Linked DNA regions of Schizosaccharomyces pombe. Changing the gene in region 4 together with the main gene of any one other region gives a genetic interaction. Each region holds a gene or a part of one and is shown on either strand. Other genes may lie near its edges. The genes, in order: cmk1, apt1, csk1 and fta6.

Region 1 (4,882 bases), 3.0 Mb from region 4:
GAGTTGATTCCTTTAATAAAGATGGCCCGGATCCCAGTTGGAGTATTTTTCACACGTAATCCTCACAATTTATCAGTGAAAAAAATTAGGCCTATCATACGTAGTACTGAGTATGGTTCACCGAAGAATGATTTTGAACAATTAGAAAAGGACAAGAAGTCCTTTGATCAGGTTGAGATTAGTGTGAAAGAAAAAGGCTCTACATATGAAAGAAGCAAGGTTGTAATTCTCATATATTTGGGTACTGAAAATGATTTAATTGCATTGGAGCTTTTACTTAAGTTTTTGTATGAAGAGACGAGTATAGCCTATATTTACACATATGATGAATTCTATAAAGATGATTATGCGACGTCATTGCCTAATGTCGTTTACACAAGTGAAGTGCTGTTAAGCAAGCATAATGACTCAGCTTTTAAGGTATGGCCGAAACTTCGAAAAAACATTCGAAAAATAACTAAGCCAAACGGATTTACAACAGACCAGCATTCTCAGACCTTTATTCCTTCTCAAACACATACGAAACTCGATTTGAGATTATCTGATGTAACAGATAGTGTTCGGTCGAGGATTAATGTAGTAAAATTTGGAAATTTAAACTCACTTTTGAGTTGTCTTCATGAACTTATTCAACCTGCAACCTTGACCCCTTCTTTCGAGACAGAAAAGAGTATAACCATGTTTTTAGGCTGTAGGGATAAACAAGCTGTGAGCGAAAAACTTGAGGTGGCTGCACTGTCGGAGATGAAGAAATTGGGTTACATTGAGTCTAGCTCAGAATTTGGTATGCTTGCAGGTTTAATTCCGTTAGTGCTGTTGAGCAATTTTCCATTAATAGATTTCTTTTTAGGGAAGGCACCTACAAAGATGGTTCAAGGTTATTGATTAATTTCAGGTTTTTATTGCATCCATCTCATAATTTATTTTTAATTAATGATTTAAATGGTTTTCATAATTTATTTGGAATCCAAAGGATCGACTATATTATTTTCAATGTTAGAATTAATGCATTCATCTCTATTCGTTATTCGCAATGTAGAAAACTTGTTTTATACCTTAATAAGAAGAAGTTACTTAGGGTTCTTCTAGTTTTTGGCTATATCGCGATTTATCAAAAAGTGTTATTTAAGAGTTGAATAGTTTACATTGTAGACTCATCTTCCTTCAAAAACCCATGTGAGTTTAAACCCTTATTGGTTTCGTCTGTTTAAACCGATACTTTGAATTTATATCATAGCAAGGGTAAAGTACTGTAGAACAAATGGAGTCAAGCATGCATGCGCATTTTTTACTATTTACTTCTTCAACATTATCTCCAATACATTTCGACTAACTATCATACAAGAAGCATATGAGAAATTAACATACCATACTCACTGCTATTGTAAAATGTATGGTATTCCTTTCAGAAGGTAGTTCGGTTCTTTCTCAAATAACTAAATACCTCTTCCAAGATGGAAAAGATTATAAAAGTAATCATTCAAAATCGATTTTATTAGCTCAATTTACACTCAGTCTGTTTTTCACAATTTTTGTTACAGTATGAATCTTTGTTACGTGGTTACCTTTTCGTATTCTGTTCTATGTTGTTAATACGCTTACTGTATTTAAACAAACTAAAATGCATGGGATAGCGCATTATTACGGTATACGTTAGTGACCAATATTCGCCATGATGGCTTGTTATATCTACTTAACTCTCATGAGCTGGTAATATCAGCGAAATTTCAAGCAGTTCGCGTTTTGCCAATTGCTCATAAAACTGCGATTTTTTAAGGATTGTATAATTAAATTCAATTCTTTAAATAATTGTGTTGCATTGTTACAGTGTTTGGTGGTTTCAATACGCTAATTGTAATTTTGATCTTTCTGATCTTGTTTTCTCTTAGAAGAGGAAAATAGGTACGGAAATTACTGAACCGATTGGGAATTACCAGGATTTATGACTATACTGCAGACTACTGGTTTTGCAATTGCAAATCAGTTGGACGGTATTTATCAGACGCTGGTTTTCTTGTTATCTTCATCAATACTATTCGGGTACATTCAATATCAATATCCTGTTAAATCCGAGGATTTCAATATACCTTTTCCAAATTTTTCCATATTTACAAGTTGAGGCTAAGCACTTATTGTCATAAGTTGGTGGACAGTCATTGCGCTGCTTAGATCATTCTGTTATTGAACCACCGTTTAACTCAACAGCCTGCTTCGCGCAAATAATATTTTCTTTATTGTTTCTACGGGATTTTTTTCATTTACATACCTTTACATTTTTGGTTTCATAAAAGAATTCTGTAGTACAGAATTGTTTATGGCACCATCTAACAATACAATAATTTACATTAAGAGAAACCTTTTACGTTTACCTTCGTTGGCATTGGAATAATTCATCTATTGATTCTTTACAGCTATGCAGCAAACATACAAACCAAACACCTCGGCCTTGAAAGACGGTGCTCCAAAGGCTACGGTGGATCAGAAACAACTATTACCTTGCAAATATCGTGTCGGTCGGGTTTTGGGAGGCGGAACATATGCGACGGTTCGTGAAGCCGTTCATATCGAAACTAACAAGTAAGTATATTTTAAATTCGAGTTGTTTGCTGACCAAATTTTCATAGAATGTATGCGGCTAAGATTATGAATAAAAAGATGATGGAGAAGAAACAAGACTTTGTAAGTAAAGACTTAAGTACTTACAGCATCCTTATTTACGTTTACTAACATGTTTTTGGTGGTATAGGTGAAGAATGAAATTGCAATTCTAAAACGTGTTTCTTATGAACATCCTAATATCTTACACTTGGTTGATTTTTTTGAAACTGTGAATAATCGTATGTCTCCGATTTCGATTTGATGAATCAAATGTTATTGTGATGTGTTTTGTTCACTAACCCTTGAAACAGTGTACTTAATCACTGAACTGGCCACCGGTGGTGAACTTTTTGATAGAATATGTGCCAAAGGTTCATTTTATGAGGCCGATGCTGCTGCTTTAATGCGTACTACCACATCAGCAGTTAAGTACTTGCATGACAATGGAATTGTACATCGAGATTTGAAGCCAGAAAATTTACTTTATCGCTCTAAAGATCCGAATTCAGATTTGTTAATTGCCGATTTTGGATTGTCCCACTTTTATGAGGATTCTCAATACTATATGCTCATGACGGCATGTGGGACACCAGAGTACATGGCACCCGAAGTCTTTCGTCGAACCGGATATGGAAAACCTGTGTAAGTTGATCAACTACCATTTTAATTCAGAAGTTATGTATCTTGACTAATACTGTTTATAGAGATATGTGGGCTATTGGCGTTATAACTTATTTTTTACTCAGTGGTTATACTCCATTTGCTCGACCTTCTCAGGTTGAAGTTATAGAAGCAATTTTAGCTAACGAGTACACTTTTAACGATCCTTGCTGGTCTGGCATTTCAGAAACGGCCAAGGACTTTATTAAAAAATGTTTGGAAAACGACCCTTCGAAACGTTTAACTGCTGCTGATGCGTTGAAGCACCCCTTCCTGTCTGAAAAGCGTCCCGCAACCTCCAATTTGCTTCCAAACGTCCGGGAAAATTTCAATGCAAGAAAAACGTTCCGTACTGCCTATAACGCTGTACGTGCTTTCAACACTTGGAAAAAGCTTGAGAATAAGCATTAATTATACACATCTTTTCTTATAACTTTCTTATTTTATCTTGTTATGACTTATGACTTCTTTATTATCTTTTGCCCTCAGTACATACTTTTTTGGTATTAACACTCTTACATGTTAAATATATTCTTTGTGATTTGGAATGCTTGGACCTATCATGTTCTCTACTTAGTTTTTAAAATAGCCTCATACAAAATGCTAAAAGTTATGTCGATGTTTTAAAAAGTAACGCTACCAGTTTTCTGACATTGTTAGACTGTTGACGACAGATGAACGCAGTTGTTTAATTCTCTATATATATTGCAGATGTAAAATTTTGAAATTTTAGCATTTATGACTATTTATGCTTCAAAAATAAAATGACCATTCAGTTAATCTGAAATATAAAAAGAGCTTGGTTATTTCCATATTTTACTCACTGTGTGAGTTCAAATTGCTAATTTCAAAAAGATTCTTCAATACTTATTATGTGTAGTTGACATTAAACACGCTGAGCGTGTTTTGTAAACTGGATCAACAAAATGAAATACAACATCTCAGATCAGAATGAGGTTGCGTACTTCATACTAGTAAAACCAAAAAAATGTAAACTAGAAAAGATTTTTATTTACTAAATTTTAAACCTACAGTATAAGAAGCAGAAGGGAGGTGGTGATCAAACAATTTGCTTTGAGAATTTTTTTAAATATTTTGAACAAAATTAACATCACAGTTTTTTATTCGCAATGTCTCGTTCCTTTTTATTTGTCCATAAATAAATAAAAAAACCAAACAGAAGTTAATACCCATTAACCAAAGCATAAAGACATAAAATTTTAAAATTAACGTTATCCAGATTCAACACAATAACGAGAGTATAATAAATAAAGGTGTGGATAAAAAATACAAATTAAGCAGAAAAAACGCTAACAGATCCATCAGACTTTCCATCCACCAAAAAGCGATCTTTATATTGAACAGAAGTAGGTACTGAGTTAGGTTCGGCTGCTATGGAATCAGAGTGAGAAGGAATTGAACAAATCCAGTTCCGATTAGATACAGTATCAAATATCCTAACATTTGGTTCATCAGATGCTACAGCAAGACGACCTTGATACAGTCTTAAGGAATTCACTTTTTTCTCCATAGGTATAATATTAATTGGCGAGCCACTTCGTAAATCCCATATTCTAACAGAATTGTCATAGCTTCCGGAATACAAATGGTTGGAATCGAATTG
Region 2 (4,069 bases), 700 kb from region 4:
TAAAAACCAGCAGAATGGCTGGTAAAAAAGGTTGGTTTCTCTCAAATTCACCTAAAGGCTGGATATATTGCCTGTTTAAGAGGCTGGTGTAAATATAAAACTGTTCATTTGAACAATTAGTGCACAACAATGTTAGATATGTTGCAATGATATTACCAATAAACGTAAGATGGTAAGTACGCATACCGATATGTGAAGAGCCCACCAAATATAAGATGGTCCTCCGTGACTCAAGGTATAAGTGGCATATATGTCGGAACTGAATTTTGACTGTTTCAATGAAGCCTTCTTCCATCGTTGGCCAATGAGTTTTTGAATCAGAAATGTAACAACCGAGGGTGTGTTCTTGGAGGACTCTGTAAGAACATCATTTGTCGCGATCAGTTTGACAAAACCAATATTTCCTCCAAAGTACCCCATTGCGCTGGGTAATGTATGTTCGATGGCACCGTTCGGGTGTTCGTAGTCACAACCCATATGATCATGGCCAGAAAGGACCAATTTGATGCTAGGAATCAATTCAAAAATTTTCATAGTAGTATTATACGATAAATGATTTTGAGACTTGACCCGAAAATCCAATTGACGAACGATTCTCGGTTCGTCAACACACACATTAGCTGGTTTGTAGAGTGGCACATGGGTGAACAGTATGGTTGGAATAGACGGCTCTAAAGCAATGTCGAAAAGAAATTGCCAAGCATCCCTAGCTTCTTTTGAAAGAGCAAGTATACCTAATGATGAAAAACTTTTACTGTTAATAATATCGCTAGGGTTCGCATCGTAAAACTGAACATCATCAAGCGAAAGGCTATTTATGCCGATCACACGGACAGGAAATTTAGAAACATTGAAGTGCGAAACCCAATTTACCGGGCCCATAGCTTGTTCCCATTTGCTAATTTGTGCGTCTGAACTTTCGCAGCCATAGCCAATGTCATGATTACCCGCAATCGTCCAAACGGGAATGTTACCGTTTTCAAAAGTACGTGCTGGTAAACTGGAGTTTCCTACTTGCCAAAAGTTTTTTGCCCCAGTGATTTTTTTCAGTCTTTTAGCTCTTTTGTTGAATTCTTCGTTATCCAAGTGCTGAAAACTGACCAAGTCACCCAACAGAATCATCGCATCTGGTTGACCCCAAAACTGATTCATATGTACAAGGTGTCGTAAAAACAAATCATTCCCCCAAAGATCTAAAGTGCCTTTAAAAAATCCATTTGCTTCGATTTTATGATTCCCTTCAATCTGAGGATCAGCAACCCCCATAATAACAAAAGAATTTTCATCTTCGAGTTGCAGCTTTCTTGGCATTATGCCAAATAGTAGAGGATAGGCATAGTAGACAGCTAAAAAAACTAGGCAAAGATAATGTAAAATAGACAGTTGTTTGTTCAACCATAATAAATTCGGATGTCTTGCAAACATTATTGACTTAATTATGTCAACGTAAATTAAAAAAGGGAACGGAGAGAAGGAGCGATTTTTGGAGTGCCTATTTTTACTTAGGAGCAGACTAAACGAGTAATGTAGAGGCGTAAGATTTTGGTTTTTGCTTTACTTACTAGATTATATAAATGGTATACCACCATAAAAGTGTCAATAAAGCTTTTTAGAAAGATTTGCTTTCAAATAACAAGAAATGAGCAGAACAGAATAGAAAAACAAAAAGCACAAATGAAACAACAAAACTTATTTTTCTAATCCATGAAGCTAGTAAATGGGTAATTTATAGGTATAGCTGCAGTATTCGAACAAACCCACTGCTAAAATTTAGATTGCAAATCAATGGTCAAATGATTGATTCAAAATTCCTGAAAAAGAAGCTTGGTTCTTAGAAAAATGTGTATCGATGTTTGCCGTTGAAATTTTTTTCTGAATTGAATTAATACCAAGTGTATCAGTATAACTGGCTTAAACAAATTAAAAAATAAGCTTTCTACTGAATGTAATAGCAAAAAACGGCTAATAATCTTGACCGAAGTTTGTTTAATGATGAACAACGGATATGACTGAAATTGCTTGAAGTGTATATCAAACTAAAGAAGGAATACCTCAAAACATGGAGTTGTGGCTGACAGTTTTCACGAAGAAAGGAATGGAAAAGAGCGTCGAATTTCAAACATAAACGTTTCTTTTAGAGCTCGTCTTAGCTGCCAAAGTTAACCCGGTACACTACTTAGTATTAATAGGTGAATTATGACTGACGTTTTTTACATTAAACGGATGGTAACATGTTACTTGAAAACAGCAGTCCAAAATTTTCGCTGCATAGACGGTAACGGAAATTGAGTATTTATTTTTTTTTGTAGAAGTTTTTACATAGCAATTTACTAAAATGTCCGACGATAGAATCAATTACCTTAAGAATAAACTTGTTCAATATCCAGATTTTCCCAAAAAGGGAATCTTGTTTGAAGATGTAAGATTTTATAGAAGGAGGAAATGCGCGAGGTTGGATAGGAACGGTGATATTATTTTGCTCAATTAGCGTGAAGTTTGAATCCAAAATACAATTCGAGAGGTTATATTATCTTTACGCCTTGCAATTGCTTAAATACTCTGTTAAATTATAAACAATAAGATGCTAATGTTATTAGATAATGCCCATTTTTCAAGATCCCAGAGCCTTTGGCATCCTTATCGATCTTTTGCTTGAAGCCGTTGAAACTGAATTCAATAACATTGATGTGATTGTTGGTTTGGAGGCGCGTGGATTTCTTTTTGGACCTACGTTGGCTTTACGTGCAAATTGTGCATTTGTCCCTGTCCGTAAGCCCAACAAGCTTCCCGGTGATTTGGTCGTCGTAAGCTACAATAAGGAATATTCTACTGATTCTTTTGCAATCCAAAAGGGTACTATTAAACCCGGTCAAAGAGTCTTAATAGTTGACGACATTCTTGCTACTGGTGGCACCGCCTTGGCTGCTGATGAACTCGTTACTCGTTTGGGTGGTGAATTAGTTGGACATCTCTTCCTTTTAGAACTTACATTTCTTCAAGGACGTAAGCGTCTTATGGCTCCTACTTATACACTTCTTACTGGACAGGATGAAGCACCTGATGGTAGTGAATTTGCTTAAACTATGAACTCGAAGTATGTATAAGCATTTCTAATTTTTAACGTTATATTTGCTTTATTCCTTTTTTATAAATGTTTAGGGTTCTGGGTTTTTTTCTATGGTTTATTCGTCAAGCTAGGATTTTTTTAGTCTAAGTTGTAAATTGAATAAGTTATACATTTTTCAACTAGTATTCTAAAAAGTAGGATTTTTGTTAGCAAATATATATAAATCGGGTGGAAATCGATATCTTAAAATGAAAAAAAAGAAAAAAGGATGCAACATCATAAGGAGAAAAGCTTATAAGGGTCATAAAGGGTATAATTTTTAGAATGGTCAATACCACGCTTTTCTTTAATATAAATAGGTAGATACATTCAGCTTATTATAAGCCTATTGACGAATCCACGTTATAATATAGCCCTCGATTAAAAGTATAATTACAAGAGAAAGCTGAATTATCCAAATATACTTTTATTAAGTATTGAATGGATAAACATCTATAGGCTTTGAAATCACGCAGCACAAATATTTTTTAAATAGTAAAAAGCATATATGACCGCAAGTCTATACACATGCGTAAATAAAAAATCACAAAACAGCGTTATTCCTAGCTGTTTATGCATTTCAGACACAAATATAGGTTTGAAACTGGAGTTCCTTGGAAGTACGAAGGGGCGTCAAAGTCTGATTGACGCACAGAGACGTTGGCCCATTTAGAAACAAAATTGTTTTCATTTTTTAAGAGAATAGTCGGAGGGATGTATGGTTTAACCCAATTGAATAGACTGTTTTGAGAATGAATATTTTCTAACGGATTAATAAATTCACCATCCGTGATGAGAATTAACAATCCTGCCTTATTGGTATTTTTTGCTTGCTGCACCCATGAGCAGTTGCCAAGTGGAGCAATATATGCTGTATCTTTGTCGAGAGTATCGGAGGGTTTTTGACACATACTGTTATTTAACAAGACTGTCTTAAAAACCTTTGAAGGTAAAGAATTATCG
Region 3 (4,478 bases), 4.1 Mb from region 4:
ATAAATGAAGGAAGGAACTGGTAAGTAGCCAAGTTTGGGAGGAGTACGTGGGGTAAAAGATAGTAAATAAAGAGCAACGAAAAACATCTCATTAGCAGCGCAAAAGATGAATAAAACTTTATTGTTTCCATAGTAAAGTCTCAGCATCCAGTTATGCTTCTTTGTTACCGTTTTGTGTGAGGAAGCACCTTGATGAAGAGTGCTGTACATATGCATATAATGGCTGGCAAGGTCCAAGCTAACTAACAGTTGAAAAATTATAGCATATTTTGGATAAGCAGCACATAAAAAGCAAAGCAAGCACGAGGTGGCGCATCGGTCTGTGACCATATCCAAAATTGCACCGAAATTGGTGGCTTGATGCAATTTGCGCGCCGCCCAACCATCAAAAGCGTCAAGTAAACTTGAGTATAAATACACAATAGTACAATAATTTGGGTGCCATGACATAAAGTACAACGAAATAAGTACCAAAAAAACCCTAGTAAAACCTAAACAAAGAGTCAGAATACTGAACAATTATAAGAATGAAAGTCCAGCGCTAATTTCAGCATATTGAGAAAAGAGGCCATAAAAGATAATGATTCACAAAGTTTTAGTAATTTTGAAAAGTGACGAAAATGATGCTTTTATAATAGAGATAACTTGACTTGACGCAATAGATTATTTTCAAAAGGGTAAGTAAATCTGTTAAGTCTAAGAACACCTTAAAATTATTAAGCACAACAAATAATTTTACGCACATCTAAAGTCTCATTCATTATTTTAATTAACTTCCGAAAAAGCATACAAAGTATCCAATACTCCGCTCATAGCTTGCCCAGAGCAAAAAGGAAAATCATTTGACAGCTTTAAAAATTTAACTCGCATATTTCTTAAAATATGGTTCAGTTGGTGCTTTGAGCAACATGAATTCTATGTAGGCTCAATTGCTTACATCGAATGGCAAAACAAATGTAGAAAGCATACAGCCTTTTTTTTCTTTAAAAAGCTGATAGGAAAAAAATATCAAAAAAAAGTATCATTTCGAAAAGGCTTTGACCAACCTTCCGGGTAAGACATAATTAAAGAAGGAAATGTAGACCTTTTTGCTCAACATAGCTTTGTTGCTGTAACAAGACTTCCGAATAATACTCACCAATCAAATTTGGTACAAAAAAGTACACGTTTGGGTCTTTCTGCTCGTTCTTTCCCATTGTAACTAATGTTGCAAAAGGAAGATACAGCGTTAGTGGTCTGCCATAAAGCTTACCGCAATATCGCTTTCCGTTGGAATACGCAAAAAAAATATTACCGCCCGTACGAAATCACCGTAATTAATATTATAAAAGGCCAACGTAGGATTGTTTTCGTTTCGCTAAGCTTATTACCTTCTTTGGAACAAAACACTTGCGCGACAATCATAACCTAGCTTATTTAAGGTTACCTTGACTCAGTTCAATTATTAATGGTTTTGCACGAGTAATTTCTTTCATGTTTGTAGAATTATGAATTAAAATATTTAATAAAATTATTTATCTATTTTTTTAAGCTGTTACTGAGAAACAGTTCTTGATTTAACTATTTTTTTTTTTTTTTTTTTTTGACACTGTCAGTAATAATCTCGAAACATCATTGCGTAAAACATTTCATAGACAATCATTATTAATATTTCTTTAATAAATTAATATTTTTTCTAATTTCCTATAACAGCAGCGATTTTTGGAAACAGATAAAGTAGTAAAAGATTAAACCTATACATCTCACCATTTTTGACAATTCGAGTAAGGTAATGTAGACGCATTTGACACATATATGATCTCTAAAACAATTAAAACACTTATTATCACAAAGATATTTTTTTCATTCAAGCAAACAAAGCGAAAAAAAAATAAAAATAAAAAAAGAATTCTTAGTATTCTTCCTTACTACAAAAATTCATACTCTGACTTTATAAGTGTACTACAAATGTATAAAGTACATATAAGAATGGTATCTATTTATATTTTTTTAAAAGCATTATCCAATATCTTTTTAGCATCATCATGCGAGATCACAGTTAGGCTTTCATCTGGTGGCCATCCTTCACCGCCAGTACATATCTATATGTCTGCTCTCATTAAAGTTTGTAAAAAGAGTAAGCCTCACCTCCAAACACATTGCATAAAAAGAAAAACATATTGCGTAAAACACCTTGCGATAAGTAATTTTCAAAGTTTTATATTACAACGTTTTAGCTGTTTTTTATTTTGTTAGATAGGCTTAAAATTTCAAGTGAAATCAATCAGGAACGATTGAATTTATAAATTTAATGAAATCAGTCGGTCATTTCGTTCCGTGGCTCACTGATATAAGGCACCTGACGGATGGCACTATTAGTGAAGTGTTCGTGGGTGAAAGAAAGAATAGCAAAAAACTATATGTTATTAAAGTTCAAGGTTTAGTATTTAAAAGGCCACCTCACGATGCCATGAGAGGCAAGCTTATTTTAGAGTCAATAGGCCATCCACACATTGAAAGGATAGTGGACTCTTTCATAGACAATGAAGCAGGATCCGTTTACCTTATAACGAGTTTTAAATCGTTTGTTCTATCAGATGTGATGGATGAAATTTCAATTGATACAAAATGCAAGATCGTATTGCAAATAAGTAGCGCCCTTGAATACCTAGAAAAGCATGGGATTCTGCATCGTGATATTCATCCAAATAATATACTATTGGATTCAATGAATGGCCCCGCTTATCTATCTGATTTCAGTATTGCTTGGTCCAAACAGCATCCAGGAGAAGAAGTGCAGGAACTCATTCCCCAAGTATGTTAAAGAGAGTTTTATATTTTGCCGAACCTGCAAGATTTCTAACGTTTTTTTTAGATTGGAACTGGTCATTATAGAGCAATTGAAACCTTGTTCGGCTGTCATTCTTATGGTCATGAAGTCGATCGTTGGACATTTGGCATTCTGATCGCTGAACTATTTTCCAATCAAGCTTTGTTTGACGATGGATCTTCTGAAGGATGGCCTAGTGAATTAAGGTTAACAAGCAGTATTATTCAAACTTTGGGTACTCCAAATCCAAGCATGTGGCCTGTAAGTTTCAAATCTTTAACATTATATCTGAGCCTTTGAACAAAAACAAAACATTTTAGACTTTTTTTTTAAATAATAGGGTTTCATGCAGATTTTGCTAACTGTTTTTAAGGAACTTTCGACTTTCCCAGATTGGAATAAATTTATATTTCATGAATATCCACCCAAACCTTGGTCAGAAATTTTACCATCTGTTGATACTTCAATTCAGTATATAGTTTCGCATCTTGTCACATACTCAAATCGGGCTTCACCATCCTTCGTGATTGAGTCATTCCCTAAAGTATCTGCTAGGCTTTCACAATATGCATAAAATTTACTCTCAGGATTGGTGTAGGAAATACATAATTTATTTTAAAGGACAGTAGAAATAAACAGGTAGGCAATACTACCGTAGGAATTAATTATCTTAGCTTCAGTTAATATTCTTTTGTCTTTTTATTAAAAACTCCTTTTGATAATACTGAGTTTTATAGTAATATCCAACGTTGAATATCTAGTGCAATAAATCGCAACGATAATCTGTAATTCTACGCACAGCATTTCTTCAATCTCACATTAGGTTGATCACTTGTATTAAACAACCGAATAGGCCTACATCTGTTTTGTTTCCCACAACTTAGATACTTATTTTGGTAGCTTGATGCGCATGCTAACCGTGCACGACTACGCAATTTGGTACCGAACTCTTCCTCCCTTCTCACATCTACCTGAGCATTTAATGCCGCTAAAAATTGTATTGGAAGATAATAAAACATTCTTCAAATACTTTAAATTATGCATCTAGCCTAGTGACGGCTTAAAGATGGATTTGGAAGTCGTGGAGTTTCCCTTGCACCACAAATTAGCGCTTCCGTTTCGTATAGGTCTTCTGGTTATAGTCGGTATGAACTTAAGATTTTCAATTTACTAATACTAACAATCTCTATTCTTTAGGTACCTGGTTATGGTCAGTTTGTTATCATTTAATTTACATCCTGAATCGGTACCAACCAATTTCTCCCAATCCACGAGGTTCTCTGAATTCAAAATGGTATCACTTACTTCAAATTCCTTTATCTAACAGGCACACGGATCTTGAGGAGAATACTGAATTCAAGGCGAATTTAGTTAGCCCAGTTGATTTTCATGCTGGATATTGCTTTGCTGCTATACTGTCTATTTCTTGGGCTACTGGGTTTATTCTATTTTTAAAGAAAACTCAAGGAGACATTGGTGGCCTTTATTCTCACCCTATTTATCCTCTTCTCTGGGTAATAACGGCTTTTATTTTAATAGTTTTTCCCTTTCCATGGCGCTACCGGTCTTCTCAACGTGGGTTGAGGAAAAGCATAATTCGCGTATTTTTGTTTTTTCAAGCAGATTTTCGTTCCCCTTATAAAGATTTCATTGTTTCTGAAATATTCAC
Region 4 (3,409 bases):
GATAGAAAGACACAAAGGATAATGACTGTTATTAGTGCCTGCTTAACTGTTTTGGTTCTCGCATTTTGGATTACTAACATGTGTCAACAGATTCAGTATCTGTTATGGTTAACTCCACTTAGCAGCAAGACCATTGTTGGATACTCTTGGCCCTACTTTATTGCTAAAATACTTTTTGCTTTTAGCATTATTTTTCACAGTGGTGTTTTTTCATACAAACTCTTTCGTGCCATATTAATACGGAAAAAAATTGGGCAATTTCCATTTGGTCCGATGCAGTGTATTTTAGTTATTAGCTGCCAATGTCTTATTGTTCCAGCTACCTTTACTATAATAGATAGTTTTATCCATACGTATGATGGCTTTAGCTCTATGACTCAATGTCTGCTAATCATTTCTCTTCCTCTTTCGAGTTTATGGGCGTCTAGTACAGCTCTGAAATTGCAAAGCATGAAAACTTCATCTGCGCAAGGAGAAACCACCGAGGTTTCGATTAGAGTTGATAGAACGTTTGATATCAAACATACTCCCAGTGACGATTATTCGATTTCTGATGAATCTGAAACTAAAAAGTGGACGTAACTTACGCCTGAATGTATCTTTTTTGATAATTCCTAATACTGGCTCAATAACAGTCCCAAATAACATAGACGGTTTTTTTACGATAGGCTTGTAATCATAATTTGCTCAGAGGGAAGTTTTCTAATGGTTTTTTTTTTTTCGCTTCATGAACAATTGTTTACTATAAACATCAATGAAATTATATGATTATAATAACTTATTATCATGAAAACTTCAAGTCGTACTTCACAAACACTTATTAAAACAATAGTGAATGAACTGCCTTCGTAATCTATAATGAACTATAATGTTTTGAGTCTCCAAGTGCTTACCTTACGAACTTTTTTTTTTATTTAAAGCTTCTTGTACCGTAGAAGCCATATCATTCATCGAAGAAGCTAATTCCTTTCTAAGCATCGTTTGCTTTTGTACTTTGGCCGATTGCATTAGCAGTTCTTCCAGACGTGATTTAAACGTTTCCACTATATACACGTAAGTATTGAGCTATTAAATAAAAATTATAACCAACCTGCTGACAATAAAATGTATTTATCCTCCATTTATTTTTATCAAATATTGTATCGAAATGTTTTAGCTGCGAAACGTTACACTCCTTAATTTAGTAATAGCAATATAATAAGGATCTTTAAACCGATATGTGTTATTCTCAAATTGCATTGCTCCACTTATTTCAGTAAACAGATGACAAATATTCAATAATGGTATATGTCGATAATTATAATTCTTTTGTTTAAGTCTTGTATTCAATTTAATGCACACATCTAGTTACTAGAGAAATAAATTCTTTATTAAATCGGTTCCGCGATTCTTCATTTTTGCACAGCGCTCCTAGTCATACCAATCTCATAATAAACGATCGAAGTGTTACCTGCACATTAAACAAACAAATAGAGTCCGTGTTTTTCTTTTAAATAATAGTAATACTATGTGAAACGAAGAATCTTTTAACTAATAAGCGATAATATACATTACTGCCGAACAATTATAAATGCACAGTTATGGCTTTGAGTATAAGGGGTAACGATACTAATGCTAAGTACAATAGAAGATAAGATCATTAACCGTAAAAACCTTTGAGCTATTCTTTTTGCAGCCAATTGTTAAATTAATTTAGATACTTCATTTCTGTTTTATAATTCTCAAGATTACTGCACTTCGCTTTCCTACGATATTACATATTTACGATATATCACCGAATGCTCTGCTACAGTTGCAGTGCTGCTGTGTCATACGGTATATGGCAGATAGTTACCGCCGGTACATTACATAGGGGTGGACTTAAGAACTAACCTTTCACCAACTACACGAGACGTTTATAAAATGGAGTCTGCTCCCATTGTTCTAGATAATGGAACTGGTTTTGTGAAGGTAATCAGTTTAATTAAATCTTTGTTTACACTGTGACTAACGTTAGCAAGGTCGGATATGCTAAAGACAATTTTCCGCGCTTTCAATTCCCATCCATCGTAGGAAGGCCCATTTTACGTGCTGAAGAGAAAACAGGAAATGTTCAAATTAAAGATGTTATGGTCGGTGATGAAGCTGAGGCGGTGAGATCTTTACTTCAAGTAAAATATCCCATGGAAAATGGCATTATCCGTGATTTTGAAGAGATGAATCAACTTTGGGATTACACTTTCTTTGAAAAACTAAAAATTGATCCGAGGGGTAGGAAAATTTTGTTGACCGAGCCCCCTATGAATCCTGTTGCTAACCGCGAAAAAATGTGTGAGACAATGTTTGAACGGTATGGTTTTGGTGGTGTTTATGTCGCCATTCAGGCCGTTCTCTCTTTATACGCACAGGGATTAAGCAGTGGTGTAGTTGTTGATTCTGGTGACGGTGTAACCCATATTGTGCCTGTCTATGAAAGTGTTGTTTTAAATCATTTAGTTGGTCGCCTTGACGTTGCCGGTAGGGATGCTACCCGCTATTTGATTAGCTTACTTCTTCGTAAGGGTTATGCTTTCAATCGTACAGCAGACTTTGAAACTGTTCGCGAGATGAAAGAAAAACTTTGTTACGTTAGTTATGATTTGGAATTGGACCATAAGCTTAGCGAAGAAACTACCGTTTTAATGCGTAATTACACCCTTCCTGATGGAAGAGTTATTAAAGTTGGTTCTGAGCGTTATGAATGTCCAGAATGTCTATTTCAACCTCATCTGGTTGGTAGTGAACAACCAGGTTTGAGTGAATTTATTTTTGACACTATCCAAGCAGCTGATGTGGACATTCGCAAGTATTTGTATCGCGCCATTGTTCTCTCAGGTGGTAGCAGTATGTATGCCGGTCTTCCTTCACGTCTTGAAAAGGAAATAAAACAGTTATGGTTTGAGCGTGTTCTTCATGGAGATCCCGCACGTTTGCCTAACTTTAAGGTTAAGATTGAAGACGCTCCTCGTCGCCGTCATGCCGTGTTTATCGGCGGCGCCGTATTGGCAGATATCATGGCTCAAAACGATCACATGTGGGTGTCCAAGGCAGAATGGGAGGAGTATGGAGTACGTGCACTAGACAAATTGGGTCCTAGAACTACTTAGAGTATATTTATGTTTAATGTTCTGTTTCTTTCTTTTTATGTGCTAGTAAATTGAGTTATACGAAGTTTGATTCATAAATTTCAAACTTTGCTAAATGATTACGTTTTCTGTTTAATCCGACCATCGTTAAAAGACGGTACGATTCCTTCTTTTATTTGCCTTTTTGATTCCTTTTTCTTTTGATGGGCTATTTACTTATGCTTGATGTTTATACAACCTTTTTGTAACCAACGATCTTATTTACTCAATATGCACTAGTACACTTCAATAGCAACAGACTTAAT

The links.
Region 1: mutations in fta6 (region 4) and cmk1 together harm fitness more than expected from each alone (negative genetic interaction), as found in Schizosaccharomyces pombe (one large-scale study listed by BioGRID).
Region 2: mutations in fta6 (region 4) and apt1 together harm fitness more than expected from each alone (negative genetic interaction), as found in Schizosaccharomyces pombe (one large-scale study listed by BioGRID).
Region 3: mutations in fta6 (region 4) and csk1 together harm fitness more than expected from each alone (negative genetic interaction), as found in Schizosaccharomyces pombe (one large-scale study listed by BioGRID).

The regions. Positions count from the first base shown.
Region 1 is NC_003424.3:1,736,619-1,741,500, reverse strand, and holds cmk1 (calcium/calmodulin-dependent protein kinase Cmk1), read left to right. Parts: upstream 1-2,200; 5' UTR 2,201-2,413; coding exon 2,414-2,577; exon of another isoform or gene 2,578-2,624; coding exon 2,625-2,679; exon of another isoform or gene 2,680-2,746; coding exon 2,747-2,837; exon of another isoform or gene 2,838-2,909; coding exon 2,910-3,240; intron 3,241-3,302; coding exon 3,303-3,669; 3' UTR 3,670-4,048; downstream 4,049-4,882. Other genes in the region: potassium ion/proton antiporter Kha1, read left to right, coding at 1-885; mdv1 (CCR4-Not complex subunit Caf4/Mdv1), read right to left, coding at 4,553-4,882. UniProt on the Schizosaccharomyces pombe protein: Important in cell cycle regulation.
Region 2 is NC_003424.3:4,081,351-4,085,419, forward strand, and holds apt1 (adenine phosphoribosyltransferase), read left to right. Parts: upstream 1-2,305; 5' UTR 2,306-2,335; coding exon 2,336-2,419; intron 2,420-2,459; exon of another isoform or gene 2,460-2,597; coding exon 2,598-3,080; 3' UTR 3,081-3,246; downstream 3,247-4,069. Other genes in the region: ted1 (phosphoprotein phosphatase), read right to left, coding at 133-1,425; alpha mannosidase Mnl1, read right to left, coding at 3,670-4,069.
Region 3 is NC_003424.3:647,206-651,683, reverse strand, and holds csk1 (cyclin-dependent kinase-activating kinase Csk1), read left to right. Parts: upstream 1-2,118; 5' UTR 2,119-2,290; coding exon 2,291-2,794; exon of another isoform or gene 2,795-2,854; coding exon 2,855-3,070; exon of another isoform or gene 3,071-3,182; coding exon 3,183-3,383; downstream 3,384-4,478. Other genes in the region: phosphatidylinositol synthase (CDP-diacylglycerol--inositol 3-phosphatidyltransferase) Pis1, read right to left, coding at 1-491, 1,139-1,196; erd101 (EXS domain-containing protein), read left to right, coding at 3,876-3,954, 4,007-4,478. UniProt on the Schizosaccharomyces pombe protein: Acts as a CAK-activating kinase that specifically activates crk1 of the crk1-mcs2 CAK complex.
Region 4 is NC_003424.3:4,781,153-4,784,561, forward strand, and holds fta6 (protein Fta6), read right to left. Parts: upstream 1,155-3,409; 5' UTR 1,122-1,154; coding exon 1,091-1,121; intron 1,044-1,090; coding exon 895-1,043; downstream 1-894. Other genes in the region: pheromone p-factor receptor Mam2, read left to right, coding at 1-582; ARP2/3 actin-organizing complex actin-related protein subunit Arp2, read left to right, coding at 1,903-1,950, 2,001-3,125. UniProt on the Schizosaccharomyces pombe protein: Component of the kinetochore, a multiprotein complex that assembles on centromeric DNA and attaches chromosomes to spindle microtubules, mediating chromosome segregation and sister chromatid segregation during meiosis and mitosis.